Struthio camelus: one gene and its partners. The protein of the gene in region 1 interacts with the protein of each later gene in a pairwise test. Links are inferred from orthologs where the notes say so. Each region holds a gene or a part of one and is shown in the gene's direction. Other genes may lie near its edges.

What was found. The genes of interacting proteins can lie anywhere in the genome.
Region 2: the proteins of EIF3E (region 1) and C4H4orf19 interact in binary tests that used the Homo sapiens proteins (3 or more experiments, as listed by UniProt). The two-hybrid records come from large-scale screens. The link is inferred for Struthio camelus from reciprocal best matches to the Homo sapiens genes EIF3E and PGCKA1.
Region 3: the proteins of EIF3E (region 1) and RUNDC3A interact in binary tests that used the Homo sapiens proteins (3 or more experiments, as listed by UniProt). The two-hybrid records come from large-scale screens. The link is inferred for Struthio camelus from reciprocal best matches to the Homo sapiens genes EIF3E and RUNDC3A.

The regions. Positions count from the first base shown.
Region 1 is NC_090943.1:153,081,668-153,089,038, reverse strand, and holds the start of EIF3E (eukaryotic translation initiation factor 3 subunit E), read left to right. Parts: upstream 1-4,354; 5' UTR 4,355-4,564; coding exon 4,565-4,654; intron 4,655-6,461; coding exon 6,462-6,576; intron 6,577-7,371. UniProt on the Homo sapiens protein: Component of the eukaryotic translation initiation factor 3 (eIF-3) complex, which is required for several steps in the initiation of protein synthesis.
Region 2 is NC_090945.1:62,454,660-62,461,593, reverse strand, and holds the start of C4H4orf19 (uncharacterized protein C4orf19 homolog), read left to right. Parts: upstream 1-3,915; 5' UTR 3,916-4,351; coding exon 4,352-4,464; intron 4,465-6,934. UniProt on the Homo sapiens protein: Acts as a tumor suppressor. Acts as a tumor suppressor for colorectal cancer cell proliferation by targeting KEAP1/USP17/ELK1/CDK6 axis.
Region 3 is NC_090966.1:4,585,656-4,593,603, reverse strand, and holds the start of RUNDC3A (RUN domain-containing protein 3A), read left to right. Parts: upstream 1-4,929; 5' UTR 4,930-5,205; coding exon 5,206-5,312; intron 5,313-7,188; coding exon 7,189-7,304; intron 7,305-7,395; coding exon 7,396-7,529; intron 7,530-7,948. UniProt on the Homo sapiens protein: May act as an effector of RAP2A in neuronal cells.

The DNA.
Region 1 (7,371 bases):
TTAGTCACGCCTTATGTGATGAGAAGAGGCTTGGCTTAGTAGGATCAACTATATCTCCCAATAAAAAACAGCGGAAATCTCTCCAGCAGGACCATCATATACCTTTTATGCACTATTTACAAAAGTTAGTTCATGAAGCTTGTTAACAAGTCCTAAACAAAAGTGAGATTGAGCTTTAAACCGGAATGTTAGCAACACATTATTGTCCAAATCATCTTAATAGTTAATTGTCTTTTTTCTTTGACCTTCAGTTAGTAACATGCAGATTTTTTTCTGACAATACATGGAAAACATATCTGACATCTCAAATTTTTAAAAGAACAAAAATCAACTCTATACAACACAAGAGAAAGCTGGAACAAATCTCACACAACTGAAACTAATTGTACCACTAATTTATCATAGCTGAGAAAACAGTGACACATTTCCTCCCTTCAGCCAAAAACATAAACCTTGTAGCTATTCCAAGACAGCATTTCAGTTTGAAAAAGTTCTCATGTTCTATTGTATCCATGATGCTTGTGGGTGATTCCCTTCTTTTTTGTTCCACTCTCCTTAAAAAACTTAAGCACAGGTTAATGTTGGTCACCAAACAAAAGTAAAAAAAACTAAAATATTTGAAAAATCAGACGATTCTCTTGAGTCATCCATCATCTTTTTCAAAGCAACCTTCCAGCCTCTAAAAGTTGAATTGACAATGTCTTGGCAAAAAGTCTTCTTGTCTAAAAAAACGTAAGGAGGATCTTTGCCTTGTGAATTTTAAGAATTGTTTTATTGGTAATCTGGTTAATGAAAACATTGCTGTCATTAAAAGGAAAGGCTCTAGTCACACACTGAATGCTGGCTTCTGTTCTAAAGAAGGCAATGAAGATCATGGACTTAGTTTCCAAACACACACTTCTCAGGCCTACCTTCTGGTCAACCCTAGGAAAAGTACTGATGAGATCGACCCAGCATGAAGAGCTAATGTCGGATGAAAAAATTCTTTTCAAAATGTTTCTAAAACTTGATTGAGTAAAATCCATTATTTATAGGGTCTTCTACAAATACAACATACAAGTCTTGAATAATACATTGAAAATGTGGTCCTTGTGCTGAACGAGATGTTAACTCATAGAAGCAAAAGCATAAATAAACATAAAACACTGGAACTTAAGATCCTCTGATCCAGATGAGTGCTCTAGTCACAGAGTTACAATTATGTTCCATACTTTAGATCTTATCGTCCAATTTATTGCACACATTTGAATTCTGGACTCCTACCATCAAGATCCCTGGCCACAGGGAAACATGATCACATTTTCTTCAGTAACACTCCTCACACAAATACGTTATTCACCATATTTATTTAATTAAACATTGAAAAGTCTCAACAAACAAGAAACCCACAGTGGCATTGTTAAGAAAATTCACCCAAACAGTAGAAGAGTCATTTTTAAGTGCTTGCTCTGAATTAAGCACAAAATGGATTAGAACAGAGTTTTGCCACATCCCTACTGAAGCACAGTATTATGCACCATTTCAACTTCACTAAGTCTCCCGGTGAATCTAGTTCCCCAAACCCACACTTTCCAAGTTAAAAAAAAGCCCAAAACAAACAGTTCCAATGTTTCTGAACTTTTGGAAGGCTAATCCTGATTTGCCAAAACAATCAAAATTTTTCAATATTTCAACCAGTTCAAACTATATTTATATCAACAAAAAGCTGCCCAGCACTGCAGTAAACACCTTCATCAATGAGGTAAAAGTTTTCAAACCTAAGAGAACCCCTATTAAAACCGGAAATGTTCATGATTAATTAATGAAAAACTCCTGGTAAACCTAATTCAATAGTATATATTTGCTTCTATACTATACATTGAGAAGCATTGTTTCTGCAGTGCAGTCAACAAACCACAGCACATTACTTAACTGCAACTGAGCTGTAAAGATTTCCACCTTTGGCTGAATCATGTTTGATCAACATAAGCGCTTTTAATAACATTTCGCAGATTCCAAACCAATACTCTAGCTGAATACTTAATCTGAAAAAAGTACTACAGATCTACATAGTTTCAGCTCTACATCCTCCAAAATCATTAAAGTGAGCTTTGACAATAGCTTCTTTCTAATCTTTTTGACAGTATATTTTTATGCACTAAACACATAGGATTTGGAAACTCACACACCCTTCAACAATCTGTCACGCAGAGCTGGATTTGTCAATTTGAAGCTGTAGTAGCTTCTACTATACATAGCCCAAAATTTTCACCTAAAATCAAAAGGTTTAAAGTGTTGCCGAATTCATGAGTTTTACTCTTCAGTACTTAAAATAAACAAATCCCAAAAGTATTGTTGTCACTCTTCCCTCTCCTTCTTAATCAATCTTTAAAAGCAGATTATTTTAGCTGACTTTCAGCTGGTCTCTAGTTTCATGTCTGATGTCTTTACTGGCCTGATGATGGGCCAGTAAATCAATAATTCAAAGCAATCAGGTTTTGGTTACAATAAGGATTTTTAGCTATCTGCATTATTTGCTACCTTATACCCTTTTTGTTACCGATTATAAATGCACTACAGAATTGAACTGGAGGTAATGAAGATGCTATGTACAGTAAGGCAACAGATTGGTTTCAGACTGGACCAACTGCATGACTGAATGCCAATAATTTATTACGGTTTTTTTATTTTTTTTAAAGTGAGCACTGCTGAGGAAAATGAGTGCTCCTACAAAACAGTACACTTTTTGCAATTACATCTTCTTTTATTAGTATCACCTTCCCTCAACTGCATGTCTCAATTTTATTATTATATAAAGAAAAGGGTTTGCTGTCATTGTGTCTGATGCCTCTGTTAAGGCCTACATTGAGAATAACAAAGTCAGAAGAGAAACAAGAAATGGAATCAAATGCAAAGACTATAAAACACATGTCACACAAAGCTTTTGAAATGAGACAAAACTAACATGGAATTACACTTCCAGAAAAAAAAAAAAAAAAGCTCTTCAGTGTTATGGGCTGAAAGGTTCCTCTTGACCCACCAGACTTCAAGCTAGGCAGGAAAAACTGTATCAAGTAGTCTTCACAGAAAGTAGGAGCAAGAGAAACTAAGTATGGAAAAACAATTCCTTGTAAGAGGTCTCACTTACCTGTTTTAGCTGTTGATAGAGATTTAACCTCTAACTGATACAAGATGGAGGCCTGGCACTTTAATGTGGATCACATCTATGGCAGATACAGCCTTGCATTTTATATATTCCATGTACCTGACAGCATCCTAAATCACATATTTTAAAAACACATTCAGCACTCTTCGAGTATCTTTGTAAGGCAAAAATCCCACTTCTTATTCCAGATAACTGTGCAATATCATTCTCATCAACAATGATTCTCTTCGTCCCCATATAAAACTATAATTTGATGTAAAAAAACCCACACTCAAGCAAATAAAAAGCAAGTACCTCAGGCAAACCTGATCAACATGCACAGATTTAACATGTATTAACAGCAAGTCTGAATGATCTGCGATGCGAAGGAGTACTTTTTTTGACTGACTTTTTTTTGACTCCTCCTGACAAGGAGCTGACTGCCACTTAAAATAGTAATAATAGAAAAAATAGATTAATATAAAAAAGAAAAAAGGCAGTCAGGTCACTTGAAAAAGGAGCCAGATACCCAACAATCCCAGCTGAAATACTAAGCTAAGCTGCAGCTGTTGGAGAATGCTCCTTTATAGGCTTTTTCATATAAGCTATAAACACACAAGGTGCATTTTACACTTTTCTTGAATATGCCGGTGAGTTAAACACCCCAGTGAACTTGCCGAACTTTCTTACACTGACTACAAGAAATAAACACCCCAGTTATGATCTGTATTAGTGGTTCCACGTTCCTGTTGCTAAACTCAGCAACGCTAACACATCCTTCCTTGGGTCCTGCTCTGGCAGCTGTGTCCCCCACCCATTACGTCTCATCAGTCACGCTGGTCAAGCTTAATAGGTTTCTCAAGGTGCAAAAGACAGTTTAGGCCCCCTGCCCGTTCCTCTTTCCCAGACTCAATCAGGTCAAGCTTCCACACTGCACACGCAGCAGGACCCACGTCTCAAGGCCGCTCCACACCATTTCTAAAAAGCCATCTGAATCATTTCTGAGCTCAAGTCCTGACAAACTGACTCAACCGCAGCGGGCAGACGCTGAACGGCTAGTAACGGCTGACGCCATCACCTCCGTCCCGGCCGCGGCCCTGCCCCCAATCCCACAACGCTTCGGTCCCACCGGGCTCTGCAGCCGCCTCCAGGGAAGCTGCAACGACCCCAAGGCTCAGCCCAGCTGTTCCTCTCACGCCGCTGCAGCAGAGGCTCTAGGCCCCGCACTGCAGCCCCAGCAGACCGACCTCCCCCCCAGGCCGCGCCCCCTCCCCAACAGCCGCGCACAGCGGCTAAGAAGAGGCAGGCGCAGGCGCGCGCCGCCCCTCGCCCGGCCGGGGGAGCCTGCGCATGCGCAGGCCGGGCGCAGGCGCACAGCCCTTAACCGCCGCGTGCCGCTGAGCCGAGCCCCAGCCCGCCCCTTTCTCTCCCGGCCCCAAGATGGCGGAGTACGACTTGACCACCAAAATCGCGCACTTCTTGGACCGGCACTTGGTCTTCCCCTTGCTCGAGTTCCTCTCCGTCAAGGAGGTACGGGGCGTTCCTGCAGCCGGAGAAGCCGGCTTGCCGGCGCGGGGAAGTGGCAGGCGGTGCCGCTGGCCGGCTCCTCTCGCGGGTTTGGGGGTCGCTGCAGGGCCCTGCCCGCGCCGCGCCTGGTGTCCCCCGGGTTTGGCCTGGCCTAGCTCGACCTGACCCGGCCCGCCAGGGCGTTCGGCACTCGCCGCCCCGGCAGCTTGGGGCGGGCCCGGGGCCCCGGCGCCATGTGGGGAGGCGGTGCGGAAGAGACGTGTGGGCCTTCTCCGCGGGCGGGCCGGGGGGAGCCGCTCCTCCGCAGCCTAGCTCCCTGGGGAGGGAGAGTCTCTGTTCCCTTCCCCCCCCCCCCCGCCTTGCGTTTACTCTGGTTTCTTTCCCGTCCCCTCGCCTGGAGGAGGGAAGGAGGAGAGCTCTGCCTCACGCCCGCGGCTTGTTTTCTGTAAGCTTCCGATAGCGTGCGATAGCTCTCGTCAGCGCGGCGCGTCGGCTGGGCGCTGCCGCGGGGCGGTGCGTGGGATTGCGTCAGTGCAGGTCTCGTTGCTAACCGACTTTAAATTACAGCTGCCGTCATCGTTAAACTTTCCGTGTTTGCGCTTAAACCAAGCGCAAGTCCCCCCCATGGGTCTTTCCTGTTTAATTATGTTAATAAAAACTAAAAGGAACCCAAATAATGCAGTAAATACATCAGTTAAAGTCGATGAGAGTTTAGTCGGTCTGAGGTATCCATTTGATCCATTTTAAAATAAATGGAAACAGAATTGTAAGGTTACTTAAGGCTTGAATTTTGAAATAAATATTATTTTAGGCTTCAGAATCAAGCTGCATACAGTGAAACAGTCTAACCTACCTTGTTTTTGTATCTTGTGTGTTTCCTGCTTCATTTGTTTTAGGGGCGTTATTTTTGGTGTTTTTGGAGTTTGCTGTAAACCCGGTTGAAGTTAACTAAACCTTGTTATTTTTGCTAGGTTGCTCTTGAACGAAATGGTATTCAAAGCTGAATTAATCTTTTGTGGATTTTCCATTTGAGATGTCTGTAGTTGTGATGCAAGGAATTGTAATACAGCCCCCATGCAGATGTAGTTTGGGGGTATGTGTAAGTGTTGATCCCCTCCTACATCTTCCAAGATGTAACAGCAGTACCCAACTGATGGGGTAGGAATCTTTAAAAATAATTAAACGTTTGAAAGAGCACCAAATAATTGCACAGGTTAAAATGAATTTGCTTTTATGTTATAGACCTAGTAACATATTTTACATAAATGTATCTTACAGAGTTAATGGTAAGTTTGACCCTGAATATCTTTCCTGAGGTCTACTTTAAATTGTTTGATGAGTCTATACTGTTTAGCAAACTATTTCTTGAAAAGTGTTTACTGAGCTTGACCCATGGATTGCATCAGTTTAAGTTCTGGGGTCAGAACTGCAAAACCTGGTCAAAATCTTCATGTTGGAATTTCTTCGTGAATTAGTATCTATTTTGGCCCAGTAAGTAACTAATTGGCTTTCTTTAAGAAAAGTTATCTAGAATGCTAATTTGTCTTTTATCTTTTGAAGTTTAGATATTCATGAATAGCAAGAAATTGATGTCAAGATTGGGGATGTTGATAGGCTGTATGCAAATGACAGAGAAACTGTGAGACATCTTGAAAAGCTGTCATATTTGATGTTTAAAATTAAATAATTTGACAGAATTTATAAATAGACTGTATTATAAAGGTAAATGGTACTATAAGGGTAAATAACTGTATTAATTGAAGACTCTTTCATTGTATCCAAAGAAATCTGTTAATAATTCTTGTTTTAGATATACAATGAAAAAGAACTTCTCCAAGGAAAACTGGATCTTCTTAGTGATACCAACATGGTGGATTTTGCTATGGATGTGTACAAAAATCTTTATTCCGATGAAATTCCTCATGGTGAGCTACTCATTTAGAAGTGAAATAATTGCCAATTTTACAGCTTTTGTGTATAAAATACTAAGCAGCTAGTAGTAATTTGCATGTTGCCCTTCAAAGCTAGAATGCTGTTTAACTTTGACCTTAAGGAAAATATGTCCGTTACTGAAACAAATAGTCTCTCCTAATGCTGGAAAGTGTGAATTTTTTATCTTTTACAAACTTAGGCTTTGAGAGTGATATGTGAAGTACCTCAGTGTGGTCTTGGTCATTCCAAGTGCTTCAGTGGTAGAGCCTAATAGAGTTACCCTTGACTTTTCCACACGTAAAATTAAACAGTATTGAACAGTGCTTTGGGATCAGACTCTTTCTTTAAAGTACACACTGTATTAAGAGTGAATTTCTGCCCTAGGTAATTCCATGAATTTGCCTGTTTTGTGGCTGATGTTCTAGATTTTGAGGAAGTATGAACGTATTACTCACTTTTGTCAATTACTAAATTATAGGCAAATTACTGTTTCTCTAGGGGAAGAAACTCCAAATGAAATTGTAGAAGCATATGAAAAATAAACGTCCGCTTGTGTTCTCTGTGATTTTTTTGGGACGCTTTCATAGTTACTTCTGTAACTTTTTATCTTCCCACACGCCACTTGGAAAAAGCAGGGAAATAGAAATTACAGGAGAAAAAAAAAGAAAGGATGTTAAAAAAGAAAGGATGTTCTAGCCTATGTGGCTTTAATTTTTTGCTTGTTTGGTTCCCTCTCCTCTCTAACCTTTGTGTTTGAATATCCATTCCCCCCCCCACCTCGCTTCCCC
Region 2 (6,934 bases), on another chromosome or scaffold:
ACAGCTTATTCTGCTCATAAAGGCAACAGGATGCAGAAGATCCCAGGCTGGGAAGCACGTGTCTTCCTTTAACAGTGTGCAGGAGAGAGAGGAAAGCTGTCTGCTGTGAAGAGAAGGGGCAACAGCTATGACCAAAAGTCAACAAGGGACTTCATATGCAGAGTAATACCGTCAGGAAGCCACTAGGGGTAAGTGGAAGATCTGGCTGACCTTATTGGTTTGGAAAGCAGGACATTTTGAGGAGAAGCTAACAGGACTGAACATAACTATGAATATTACTGTGTTTTGCAGAAGATCAACTTAGGCAATAACCAACAGTTACAACCTAAAACAAAACGCCTTTTGCAAAACTGATAGCATCTGCTTTTCATTATGTTCCCCTTCTGCCAACACACCTGCAAATAACAAGTGCAGGTGTGCTTGAGCTGTGCAGGCAAGGCTCAGACTTCCTTGCACTGAGATCTACTTGCCACTGCATCTTCGTCTGGGGCAAAATAGCCACACGAGAAAAGAGAGAAAAGGTGCAACTTGGGGGCAGAAATACCATCGGGACCTGACAAAAAGTGTAGCTAGATGCCTTGGGGTAGGGGAGCAGCTGTGAAGAAAGGGAACAGTTTCTGATGCTTGCACTAAAGCAAATGCTTCCTATTCCAGCTAAGATTTGCACTGGCATGCAGTAGTATTTGATAGAGTTTCCTCATATTAGAACTACAAATATAAGCTAATAAGCACATATTTTTGTAATATCAACATAGTCAAGCCACATCTGACCTTTTTCATCTCTTTGGATGGGAACAGAAACGTAAGCAGATATATCCATTGCTCTGAGCAACCTGGCACTCAGAGCAGTTTGTCATCAGATCGGAGCTGGGCAGGATGCTTTTCCCCGGTGTTGAGAAATGCCACAGCACGCACTCACAATTAGAGCACATAATTGACTCCTGCACAGTAGACACACCTCTCAGCTAGGAGGCTGCACTCTCCCTTGGACGCAGTTATGAACAATCCAAGGATATAACCCTCAATTTGTGCTACTTCATGTATACTATAATTAATGTCTACTTACTGCTGATGTTGAGATCCTGGAATGAAGAGCACAGCTAGCACACATTTTTGTCAATTATTAGAGCAAATTTCCTGCACAAACAATACATCAAACATTTTCAGACGTCATCACACAAACAGATGTTAAAACCGTGACAACACAACTCCCATCGGCTATTTGATGAGCAGGCCATAGTTTGGCGATTAGCTGACGTTTTACTGATTGCTCATCAGGCAAGTGTAGTGTTTGTTAGTGCGTGTTTCTTAATATTAAATCACTTTGGTCTGTAATTTCTTGGAAAGTGTGAGGGTAAGCCAGTTGGAAACAATTCTGTGTAAGCGTCACTTGCTTTGTTTTTCCTTTCCTGTGACTGCTTGTACAGCTTTGTCACTTAAGGATTCCTGTCATTTATTACCTTACTGAAGTAAAAATATTTTGTGACACCAGAGCTACTTCCTTGAGAATAAAAGAACTACTATATGTCAGAATATTAAGCATCAAAATCTATGAAGCCATAGCTGAGCTAGTCCTATAAATTTTCAGATAACAAGCAAGGCACAATTCTCAGGCATGAGAATCTCCAGTTTTAATACCCGCCCTGGTTAAAGCTACTTTTCTCCCTTGAAAAAACTACCATGAATCTAAATCTGTTTCAAGACTTCACTTGGAATAATCATAAATAATACCCCTAAGCCCCTACACACAAAAACAACCTCAAACTTCATGCCTTGAATAGCAGACAAAATACATCAAATTCTTCCCTCACGGAAACAAACAGCCATTGTCTGTACACGGAGTATAACTAGCACTAGTTGTGTAATATCATCCACAAGCTTGCCATTTCAGTCACAGAAACACATAAAGAATCAGGCCACTGCCTTGACCAACGTATCATCTATTGGCTTGATTTAGCATGGCCAGGGAGAAAAAAGGGGAGAGGTAGGGAAAGATACATGATCGGATTGTGGAGGTTAGATTTGGGGATAACCGCAATGTTGCGGTTCCTTTTTCCTGTGATAAAGTGTCGTAATGAGGATGTGAGTATTTAAGAGAAATCCGAACAAATCCATGGGGGGCTTGTCAGAGATTTCAAAAGGTTCTCTAAGCACAGATGATTGGGATAACTTTGGATGACAGCAGGTCATACGTACAGTTAGTATATGCCATGTCATTTAACCGTACTCAGATTTTAATTTTTCTGAGTAAAACTTTCTTCGTAATATGAAATGGTTTTAAGAAATGTAATCAAATAATTTTCAGAAAAAGTTGGGATTTTGGCAGACATAAGCCATAAAGCATATTTTGTATTGTTAGAAAAAAATGGAAAAATATCAGAGCAAAGGAATTGTGAATATCTTCTTGCAAAAGAGAAAAATGGCATTTTTGATCATACTTTTTCAGAAAGCCCTCATCATAAATATAACTGTGCAGTCTCCTGCATTGCACAATTCCCTCCCTTTTAATTCTAACACAGAATCGTCTTCCGAAAATATATACAGATTGTTATCAACAGGTGAAGACAGTGTAAGAAGGGTTATTTGTATTCATGCAATGATGACATTTATCTGTGAAAAAACAGAGATCTGATTTGAAAATGAACAAGCAGACAGTGGCAACGGGAGTCAAACAGCTGAGGTTAAACTCTCGAAAGTCACCTCTGTAGTTCTACTGCGGCTGAAGGAGGTCGATATGATCTTGGACAGGTCCCCCTTCTGTGTCAACTTTTCTCATGTTTGCAGTTAGCTGTGCTGGAGAAGCAGGCAAACAGATCAGCTGGTAAATGAGGCCTCGGTGGAGAGTAACAATGGCTGGTAGACCTGAGCAGCTCCCCAGCTTTGTTTGTAAAGTAAATAAAAAGAGCACATTTGAGGGGGAGGAGTAACAAAGGGAAGGACAGGCAACTACAACCTTGGCAATAACCTTGTGTTAGGCAGGAGGATAGCATAAGGCTCCTTCTGGCAGACACTCTGACACCCCTTGTTCCCAAATATAGTGCATGCCTGCCTCAGAACAGGAGGAGAAAGCAAGCTGCACCAGGAAAAACACTTGCACATTTTCTCTCTCTTACAGAGTAGTGTAGACAGCAGGGACTGAACTGACTCGGAGCCAAACCACAGCTCACATTCTCGCACAGGGATTGCACAGCTAGGTAGTTTCACCAGGGCTGGACAGCAAGATGTTTAAAGCGTGAAAATGACACATAAGCGTTACACCCTAAGAAAGTGTGAACAAAAAGTCTGAAGTCAATTAAGCTACAGAAAAAATAGACAAAAAACCTTCAGGCTGGTTTTTATAGTTTCTCTAAATGAGTATATTATCATATTTCCTCAAGTTAGCTGATTTATTTTAGATTATATATGACAATCCAGTTGCTCCCTAAAGCCCTATTTTGACAATTTCCAGACTAAAAATCCATTAGAAAAAAGGAATTACATAGACTTCAGTCCAGCTTTAAAAGCATCAGTCTTATTGCAGAGTTAAACACAGACTTGTTATCAAATTGTTGCCTCCATAACAATTGCGCTAAGACAAGAGTTGCCAAAGAATTTAGAGACTCACTGAAAAAGATCTGACATTCTAGGTAGTAGAATTCTTCACAGTTTTGTGGCTGTCACCTATAGGCTAAATTTGACTGTTGCAGCAAAACTGGATTATAACTTTCAGACACAGGAGTACACATGATCTGGAAGCTTGTTAAAAAGTAATTTGTTTTCAGAAGACACTGAACCATCAGCTCCACAGCCTTTCATCAGCTGGTTTCAGACTCCATAATGGATTAGCAGGATGGATGCTGGGCCCAGGATTTTTTTTTTTTAGCTCTCTCCCTTTGCTGGTGGGGTGGGGGCGGGGGGGGAAATGATAGACTCATTACCTCTGGTCTCAGCATAGTTAGTGGGGTGCTTGCTTTGGATGCAGGAATACAAAAAACTCCTCAGAACCTGCTATTTTAGGCACAGTGAAACACTTTTTATGGATGATAGTCACCTAACAGTAGGATTAGTCAGTGTGTTGTATGGCTAACTAAACTAGATCCCTTTTCTTGTTTCCTTTACAATCTTTTCCCTGTTACTCTTCCTCTCCCCTCTCTGCCATAGGGTGGTGTTTTTCTACTGCATGTTTAATAGCTCCCTAAATTTCTAATTTTGGTTCTCCTCAGCTCTGCCATCTGTCCCACAGTCTTTCCATGTTTCTTTTATATCACCTGTCATCCAGATCAATTGTTGCTCTGCCACCACCCCTCAGTAATATACTGCACTTCCCTCCCCTTCATTTAGGCACACCCGATTCTTTCTCCGACCTTGGCAGATGCTGAGGACAGCCTTTGAAAGCTTTAGGAGAGGTGCGAGTGCCTACTCAGCACAGAAGGCACACCCCACCTCCCAGCAGGAGAAGTCTGCCAAGCGCAAGAGCTGTCTCAGGTTATTCCCACCCCAAATTCTTTATATTCCATCCTTATATATTTCTCTGCAGACACTTTACTCTTCCCACCTTTGCTTCTGTGAGTGTCTCCTAGCTGGTTAGCATTTGGCACCTGTATGAGACCTTGGTAGCAAGAAAACTTAAGAAAATTGTGTTTGCGTTAACAGTGAGGCAGATGGAATCCGTTCTGATGAGAGAGGGGTTTATGTCCATCGTGGGGGAGATGGACCCTCAGTCTGGTACCCTGCAGGCAGATACGCTTCACTCAGGAGGGCACAACGCAGCCGACTGACGGGGCACAGGCTGGCAGGGTCTGGTCTGACTGGAGCCTCTGCTTGAAAAAAAACGAGCAGAAAGAGCTGCCACAGGCCACTAGGAGATGCAGCATTCAGGCTTAGCAGCCCAGATAATACATACATAGAAAAAAACGCTTTACTTTGTAATCTAGAGGAGAGGAGGAGAGAGAGGAACCAAAGAAACAGCAAAAGCTCATGAAGCACCAATTCTGGATGAGAACGTGGGGGAGACAGAAATCAACCACCTTAAAAAAAGTGATTCACAGCAAAAGTCCCCCGCCAGGATTGAAAGGAATTTGAGACTTACTGCAAATACCATTTAAATATGTTGTGCCTTCACCTTTCTGCTTCTACACTGGGAGGACAGAGTGGGGCAGAAATCAAGACTGAAGGGAAACCAACACACCAAGAACAAGACCAAAAAGGAGATTGGCCTTTCTCTGTTTCCCTGTAAACTTACAAGAGTGTCGAGAAAGGTTGTCAAACCATTTTTGTTTCACTAATTTTGCCCTTCCCTATTCATAACGTTCGTCTTTTGTTTATCCATAATACAGCAACAGTTTAAATAGACAATACAAGCTACTGTATTATATAATTTAAAGTCAGATATGTTGTGTTTCTCAAATCTGATAAAGGACAGTAGACTTCTCTTAAAGCACATTATGGCTTTTAAAGCAAACTTACTTTTTGGAGCCAGACATTATACATTCCTGTTGTTCTTAGCAAGATCTCACACTTCTAGAAAAGTCCCATTCCATTCTCTTACTGGGTGCCAACATAAAATCATCTAACAAGAGACTTTACTCCTCAGCCTCCTCATTTTCAGCATTTGTTTTACTGAGTGGATTGTTGTTCTGCTCTCCTCAAATTAAATCCACTTACTACCTCCGTAATAACCATAGGGGCATTTTTTCCAACTGATTTTAAAATAGATGCTCTTCCATCTCTTTTTCTTTCAAAGGAAGAAAGAGAGTCACTCTTTTGTAATATCAGATTTTACTGATCTCTGTAAACACTTATTCTAATGTATTACAAGGAAATCATAACTAGATCGTCTTTCGCACTAGCAACTAAAGGATTACTGCAGTGGCTGAGGGAACCATACACAGAGTTGAGCCTCTTCATCTCTTTCATCAAAGCAAAATATTTTAACTGATGGAAGTACTGACATTGAATGTGCAAACCACAAAGGCTGTCCTACTTCTCTCTCATGCTCCAAGAATCTGATTATTTTATAGAAACTGGTACAAGCCCAGCCTCACAGACACACTCTAGAAGATTCAGTGGCTACTCAAAGCTGAAAAGTCAGAGCTCAAAATTAAGCATTTTAAACCTAGGCCTCCCATATTCCTCTTTCCTGATAGCTCCATTTCCTGCAAAAGCTCCAAGCGTTCCAGGATACGTCTAGAAAGACAAAAATCTATACCTTGAATTTTAGTAGAGCTTTAAGGCTAAGTGCTGTGTTGATGTCCAGAATTAAGTGACTGCACAATAACCAGTGACAGAAATTTACAGGCCTAGAGGAATTTCATGACTGAGAAAGAATAGTTTAACGGCCTAGGTTTAATGGCCGTTGACCGGAATTTGGAGGATCTAAATGTTAAGGTCAAGCATTTTACTGCTACTTTAGACAAGCAGACTCTATTTTGGAGCTAGCCTCCAGTGCTCTGCAAAGCAGCGCTTAAGTCCTGTCTTGTTAATATGAAAATATCTAGAAAATCTAGCAGCATAGCATATTTAACAGAATAAACAGCATATAAAAAAGGGAAAAAAAAAAGAAGTTAGAGCAACATAAAGGCTGCAACATCTTATTCTTCCTAACTTCAATCTCAGATAACATCATTATCTATTTTTTCAACCTTCAAACCCTCCCCCATGCCCTCTATTTAAATGAGTCTGCGTAGCATATGCTTGATTCAAACTCCGGATAGGAGCTTATTAATACTACTTATTTTTTAATGGAACCATGAAGATCACACAATACACAAGTCTTTAGAGCAAAGTACCTAAGACAAAATAAGTAGGAGTAAAGCATGCCTTTTCATGCTGTAAAAGTAACTTGTTCCCCAGGGTTATTTTCCAACCCTGGCTTGAAAGCGTGTTATAAACGTGGGAGAGAAGGACAAGGAACAACAGTCTCTAACAGTGACATCATAAAACTCTATTCCTACTT
Region 3 (7,948 bases), on another chromosome or scaffold:
CGGCTGCGGCCGCCCGATAACGGCGAGCGGCTGCTCCGCCGCGCCGCCTGCAGCGCCGAGCACCGGCGCCCCCGGCCCCGCTCTACCGGCCCCGGCCCCGGCTCTGCTGGCCCCGGCTCTGCTAGCCCCGGCCCCGGCCCCGGCTCTGCTGGCCCCGGCTCTGCTAGCCCCGGCCCCGGCTCTGCTGGCCCCGGCTCTGCTAGCCCCGGCCCCGGCCCCGGCTCTGCTAGCCCCCGCTCTACCAGCCCTGGCCCCGGCTCTGCTGGCCCCGGCTCTGCTAGCCCCGGCCCCGGCTCTGCTGGCCCCGGCTCTGCTGGCCCCGGCTCTGCTAGTCCCGGCCCCGGCTCTGCTGGCCCCGGATCTGCTGGCCCCGGCTCTGCTAGCCCCGGCCCCGGCCCCGGCTCTGCTAGCCCCAGCTCTGCTAGCCCCGGCCCCGGCTCTGCTGGCCCCGGCTCTGCTAGTCCCGGCCCCGGCTCTGCTGGCCCCGGCTCTGCTGGCCCCGGCCCCGGCTCTGCTAGTCCCAGCTCTGCCAGCCCTGGCCTCAGCTCTGCTAGCCCCGGCCCCGGCTCTGCTGGCCCCGGCTCTGCTAGTCCCGGCCCCGGCCCCGGCTCTGCTGGCCCCGGCTCTGCTAGCCCCGGCCCCGGCTCTGCTGGCCCCGGCTCTGCTGGCCCCGGCTCTGCTAGCCCCGGCTCTACCAGCCCTGGCCCCGGCTCTGCTGGCCCCGGCTCTGCTAGTCCCGGCCCCGGCCCCGGCTCTGCTGGCCCCGGCTCTGCTAGTCCCGGCCCCGGCTCTGCTGGCCCCGGCTCTGCTAGTCCCGGCCCCGGCTCTGCTGGCCCCGGATCTGCTGGCCCCGGCTCTGCTAGCCCCGGCCCCGGCCCCGGCTCTGCTAGCCCCAGCTCTGCTAGCCCCGGCCCCGGCTCTGCTGGCCCCGGCTCTGCTAGCCCCGGCTCTACCAGCCCTGGCCCCGGCTCTGCTGGCCCCGGCTCTGCTAGTCCCGGCCCCGGCTCTGCTGGCCCCGGCTCTGCTGGCCCCGGCCCCGGCTCTGCTAGTCCCAGCTCTGCCAGCCCTGGCCTCAGCTCTGCTAGTCCCGGCCCCGGCTCTGCTAGTCCCGGCCCCAGCTCTGCTAGCCCCGGCTCTGCCGGCCCCGGCCTCAGCTCTGCCAGCCCCGGCCTCAGCTCTGCTAGTCCAGGCCCCGGTTCTGCTAGTCCCGGCCCCGGTTCTGCTAGTCCCGGCCCCAGCTCTGATAGCCTCAGCTCTGCCAGCCCCGGCCTCAGCTCTGCCAGCCCCGGCCTCAGCTCTGCTAGTCCCGGCCCCAGCTCTGCTAGTCCAGGCCCCAGCTCTGCTAGCCCTGGCTCTGCCGGCCCCCGCCTCAGCTCTGCTAGTCCTGGCCTCAGCTCTGCTGGCCCTGGCTCTGCTAGCCCCAGCTCTGCTAGTCCCAGCCCCAGCTCTGCTAGTCCCGGCCTTGGCTCTGCTAGTCCCGGATTCGGCTCTGCCAGCCCCAGCCTTGGCTCTGCAAGCCCTGGCCCCAGCTCTGCCAGCCCTGGCCTGGCTTTGCTAGCCCTGGCCCCATGCCTGCCAGCTCCAGCCCCAGCTCTGCTATCGCCTGGCCCCAGCACGGAGCCTGCAGCCCGCAGCCCCCGCGTCGTGCATCCCACGGCCTCAGCGTGGAGCCTGCAGCCCCCACGCCGTGCATCCCACGGCCTCAGCATGGAGTCCATAGCTCCCACGCTGTGCATCCTGCATGGCTCCATATGGAGCCCACGGCTCCCACGCCGTACATCCCACGGCCTCAGCACGGAGCCCACGGCTCCCACGCCGTGCATCCCACGACCTCAGCATGGAGCCCACGGCTCCCACGCCATACATCCCACGGCCTCAGCACGGAGCCCACAGCTCCCACGCCGTACATCCCACGACCTCAGCACAGAACCCGCAGCTCCCACGCCGTACATCCCACGACCTCAGCATGGAGCCCACGGCTCCCACGCCGTGCATCCCACGGCCTCAGCACGGAGCCCACGGCTCCCACGCCGTGCATCCCACGACCTCAGCACAGAACCCGCAGCTCCCACGCCGTACATCCCACGGCCTCAGCACGGAGCCCACGGCTCCCACGCCGTGCATCCCACGGCCTCAGCACGGAGCCCACGGCTCCCACGCCGTGCATCCCACGGCCTCAGCACGGAGCCCACGGCTCCCACGCCGTGCATCCCACGACCTCAGCACAGAGCCCGCAGCTCCCACGCCGTGCATCCTGCCTGGCTCCATATGAAGTCCATAGCACCCACCCCACGCACCCAGGTGCAGGACCTGCCCTCTTGCACCAGCGCCGCACCGCACAGCGCCCGCACCCCCCCAGCCCGGCCCGCCGTGCCCGCGCGCCCCGCACCTACCACCCGCGCTGGCTCCGGCGACGGCGCTGCCCTGGGCGCGAGCCCACTGCTGCCGGCGGCGCAGGACCGACGCGCCCGCGGCCCGGCTCCCGAATGCCGAGTCACGCTGGCCCCCTAATCTGGCCGGGCCACCGGCCGGCGGGCGCGCGCCCGCCCTCACCCGTGGCCGGCCCCATAAACAAGGTTATCGGGGCGCACCATCTTGCAAATTCGGGGCTGCGCCCTGGCCGCCCGCCCGCCTCCCCGGCTTCCCCCGGCCCGCGGCCCCGCTCCCCCCGCGCCAGCCCGGCCCCCGCGTCCCGCATCGCGGGGGTTTCCCCGAAGGGAAACCCCGGGAATCCCGTTTCCGTGACACTTATTTACTGGGATTTGATTTTTTTTTTTTTTTACTTAAGAAAAAACCGAGGGTTCCCGGGGAGGTTTCCCCCGGCGCAGAGGAGCGAGGCGAAGGCAGGGCCTGCAGGTGACGGTGGCGGTGGCAGCGGCGGGACGTGTCTGCCCGCCCGCCGGGAGGCTGCGAGTCCCGGAGCGTCGCCATCCTCGGCGCTTTCCGGGGGCGATCCCAGCTGGGTGCTGCACGCAGAAGAGCAGTGCCTTTCCCTGCGCCGTTTCAGGGCGCCCTCAGGCGTTAGGGCGAGCCCCGGGCGCCGGGGGGCCGCCGCTCGGCTGCAGAGGCGAGATGGGGCTGCAAAGGCTGCGGTGTGCGGTGCACGGCACTCGGCGCATGGTGCACGGCACACGGCACACGGGGCACGGCACATGGCACGCAGTGCACGGCATGCAGTGTGTGGTGCACAGCACATGGCACGTGGTGCACGGCACACGGCACACGGGGCACGGCACATGGCACGCGGTGCACGGCATGCAGTGTGTGGTGCACAGCACATGGCACGTGGTGCACGGCACACGGCACACGGGGCACGGCACATGGCACGCGGTGCACGGCATGCAGTGTGTGGTGCACAGCACATGGCACGTGGTGCACGGCACACGGCACACGGGGCACGGCACATGGCACGCAGTGCACGGCATGCAGTGTGTGGTGCACAGCACATGGCACGTGGTGCACGGCACACGGCACACGGAGCACAGCACATGGCACGTGGTGCACGGCACATGGCACGCAGCATGCGGAGCACAGCACATGGCACATGGTGCATGGCATGAGGCATAGTGCATGGCACATGACACACGGTGCACGGCTCATGGCATGCGTTGCACAACACATGGCACGCGGAGCACAGCACATGGCACAGCACGCAGCGCACGACGCCTTCTGCACAGCCCTGTCGAGCTCGAGGTGCTGAACCCGCCCTGTGCAGTGGCCAGGAGCCCCGATTCCCGCAGCGAGCCTCCGGGCCGGACGCATCCTCGAGTCCTGCAGCGCGCTGCAGTGGCGGACGCTGCCCTGACACCCGCAGCCAGCCGGGCACAGCTCCCTCGCGTGTGCAGACAGATGTGTGCGCGGGTGTGCATGTGCATGCGGATGCACGCGTGTGTGCATGCGCACGTACATACACGAATGTGCATGCATGTGGGTGTGTGCGCATGCGTGTGCATGCGGGTGCACACACATGTGCAACCTTCCTAAAAGGCTCCCAGCTCCGAGCCCCAAACCCAGGCCCTTTGGGCACCCATCCAGGGTGCAGCTGGGGTGCAAAGATGCTGCAGGCGAAACCCTCCCTCGCACCCAGCTCTGACCACTGGCGCCCGCTACCCGGCCCCATCGGGCCCCTCGGCCGCGGGTTTGCTGAGCGGCAGGCGGGTGGCCGCCTTGGGAGTGCGATAGCCCCCGGGGCTGGGTGCTGCGATTAGGCGGGCGGCGCCGGGCCCTGGCGTTATCTGGGTGCCGCCAAGGCCGCCCCTCCCCGCGCAGCCCCGCTGCTTCTGGGGCGCCCGCGCTGCCCTGCCCTGGCGCGATTCACCCTCCCATCCAGTTGCCCCCTTATCGCAATGGGGAAACTGAGGCACGGTGGCGGCGGTGGGGTCAGTGCTGCCCCGACGGCTCCGGCTCAGGGGGTTTCTCCCAGCCCCAGGCCACCGCGAGCCTGCGGGGCGGCACGGTGCTCGGCCAGCCGTGACCCACCATGCCCAGCGGGTAAACTGAGGCACGGAGGCTGGAGGCGGCGGGGCCGAGCTGGCGCCCGTGCCAGCACCTCGAGCAACATGTCCCCGGTAGGGGCAGCTCCCACCGGGCGCGGGGGGACGGGATCGCACCGAAACACCCCAGCTGCCCCCCCCCGGCCGCCCCGAAACGGGAGCCCTGGGAGCGGGGGCTGCCGCAACACCCCGAGGCCGGGGTGGGGGGGGCTGCCTGCTCCTGGATCCGTCCCCCGAGGCTGGCGGCGGGGGGGGGGGGACACGAAAGGTCCCCGCTGTCACCGAGGGCTCACGGTGGCCAGGCCGGAGCCCGGCCCTGCCGCCGCTCTGCCCGTGGGGTCCCGGCTCTTGCCGGCGCGTCATGGCGAGGGGCTGGGCCCTGCCGGGAGGAGGGAGCCCGGCACCCACCCCCAGCCCGCCACAGCGCCTGCCCCTTGCTCTCCTCCCCGCTTTTTCCCCCCCCCTTGTTCCCTCCATCCCCGCGGGGGCTGCTCGGGGGGGGCGTCCAGGGTGGCGGAGTGGGAAAAATCCCCCTGCCCGGCTGCAGCATCCTTCTGGGGCCCTGCATCCCGCCGGGGCCCTGCATCCCGCCGGGGCCGTGCATCCCGCCGGGGCCGCGCGGGGGGCCGGGGACTCGGCGGGGCCGCGCCGGAGGCAGGTGGGCCGGCGAGAGGGGGGTCTCGCCCGCCGGGGCCGGCTCGCCCCGCGCTGGATGGAAACGAGCTGCGTCCAGGCTGCCATGGCTCTGGGGCTCTCGTCCAAGAAAGCCTCGTCCAGGAACATCGCCGTGGAGAGGAAAAACCTCATCACCGTCTGCAGGTGGGTGCTGGGGGGGGGGGGGAAGGACCCGAAAACGGAGCAGGGGGGGATAAGGTGGGGGAGAGGGGAGCAAGGTGGCCAGGGATGGAGGAGCTGGATGGAGGGATGCGGGGGGCAGCGGACGGGGGGCCCCGTCCCACCCCGCGGCCCCTCCGGCCCCGGCAGAGGGGATGATTTTTATTTTTATTGTTGCTGCTGTTGCTTTTACCCCGGGAGACGCAATTTTGGGGAAGGGGGGAAAGGATGCTGCTGCTGCAAAAAGGGCTGGAGAGGCAGAAGGGAGGGGTGGAGGCGGCGAGGGGCGACGGGGCCAGGGGACGAGGGTGGGCGGCTGTGCCCTGGTGCTGCTGCATCGGCCGCCCGGGGGGGGTCCCGGTCCGGGGGGGCGGGCAGGGGGCCGCCGTGCCAGGGACTCGGGGTAGGGGGGAGGCCACGGCGATTCGGCTACACGACAACAACATGGAGGCTGCCGGCGGTGTCGGGGGGAGCCGGGGCCCGGCGAGGGGGAGGGATGCTGGCGGGGACCGGGGATGGGGGGGCTCGGCGGGGTCGCCCCCGCTCAGGGCGCGGGGGTGGCGGGGGGCTGCGCGGGGGGACCCGAGCGCCAGGTGTGGGGCCGAGGAAGTGACGTCAAGGCGGCCCCGGGATGGGGGATGAAGGCGAGCGGGGATGGAGGGATGATGGCGAGCCGGGATGCAGGGATGCGCGTTGGCATGGCAACGCCCGGCTGGACCGGGGCGCCGGGGCCGGCGCCGATGGGGGCCAGCGGTCCCAGTCCCTGGCTGTGGGGCTGCGGGGGGGGGGCCGCATCACCCCCCACCCCGGGAGCATCCTTAGCGGTGGCTCGTGCCCGAAACGCAGCCCCGGGGGCAGCCGCTCGGCCCCCCGCGGGTGACCCCCCCCCGCCGCCGGCGACGTGGCCGAACCCCATGCCGTGACCCCAACCCGTGCTGGGTTTCCTCAGCAGCCGGCTGCTCTGAGCACCCCCAGCATCGTCCTCCAGCCCGTTGGGCCGAGCGGGAGGTGACCACCCGGCTGGACGCGGCGGCCTCCGCGCGGGGCTGAGCTCAGGGAGGGGAAACTGAGGCAGGAGCCGGGCGCAGCCGGGATGGAAACCCGGCCCCGCGGTCCGGGCCGGCTCGGGCCGGCGGCACGTAGGGCGGAAAGGGAAGCCCTGGCAGCCGGTGCGGGGGCCGGGGAGGAAACGGGGAGCCTTTTGTTCGCTTTTCCTGGCCGGGCGCGGAGGGGCCGGGCGCCCTCCCCGGGGAGCCATCCCTCCGGCACCTGCGCGCCCCGGGCGCGAGCTCGGCGCGAGCCCCCGAGCCTCGGCCCATCACGCCGCGCGCCGCCCCGGCCGGCGTTTGTCCCCGAGCCGGGTCCGGCCGCAGGACAAAGCGTTTCCGTCCCCCGGGCCGAGCCGGAAGCGGTGGGGGGGGGGGGGACGCCGGCAGCGGCCGCGAACGTCTCCCCAGGGTGCGCGGGAGGCGCGTGGCCGGCCCGCCGCGCGGCACCCGCCCGCCAGGGCGCTCGGCACCCGGCGCCGCGGCTTGGTGATGCCGCTTAAAACAACCCCGGTTATATATCCCCTCGGTGGTACAGGGGAAGGGGCCCAGGAGTCCTGCCGGCAGCCCCAGCGGCGCGAGCCATCCTTTCGGGAAGCACCGCGTGCAAATGGCTTTTCCTTATTGCTCTAAACGCCCGGCCCGGCGGGGCGCCTGGATGTGTTGGATTTGGGTGCGTTCTCCTCCCCGGGCAGCGGAGGGGGCCCAGGAGTCCGGGGACCTGCTGCACCCCCTCCGAGCCCCTCCGCAGCACCAGCGCGCCCATAACTCACCCCCCACCACCACCACCCCGTTGACACTCCTCTGGCCGGCAGGTTTTCGGTGAAGACCCTGCTGGAGAAGTACACGGCGGAGCCCATCGACGACTCCTCCGAGGAGTTCGTCAACTTTGCCGCCATCCTCGAGCAGATCCTCAGCCACCGCTTTAAAGGTAACGGCGGCAGGCGCCGGCGCGGGCGTGCTGCGCGGGAAGGGCCCTGCGGCCGGCCCCCGTGACCGCAGCCCCCCGCCGTGTCCCCCAGGCCCCGTCAGCTGGTTCAGCTCGGATGGGCAGCGCGGGTTTTGGGACTACATCCGCCTGGCCTGCAACAAGGTCCCCAACAACTGCGTCAGCAGCATCGAGAACATGGAGAACATCAGCACCTCCAGGGCCAAGGTCAGGATGACGTCGGTCCCCACCCCATCCCCATCGTTCCCCAGCCCCAGCCCTGGCCTTGGCCCCAGCGCCTTCCCCACCTTGTCCTCGTCCCCATCCCCACCCTGGCTCCATCACCTTCCCCATCCCCATCCCTGCCCCTATATTCCTGCCCTAGCCCCATCCCCGTCCCCATCTCCATCCCTGTCCCCATCTCCATCTCTTTCCCTATGCTCATGCCCATCCCCATCCCTGGCCCTGGCCCTGGCCCCATCTCCTTCCCTATCTCTGTCCCCATCCCCATTTCCATCCCCACCCTGGCTCCATCACCTTCCCCTTCCCTATCCCTATCCCCATCCCCATCCCTGTTCCCACCATGTTCCTATCCCCATCTCCATCCCCATCCCTGTCCCTATCTCTGTCCCTGTCCCTATCTCCAT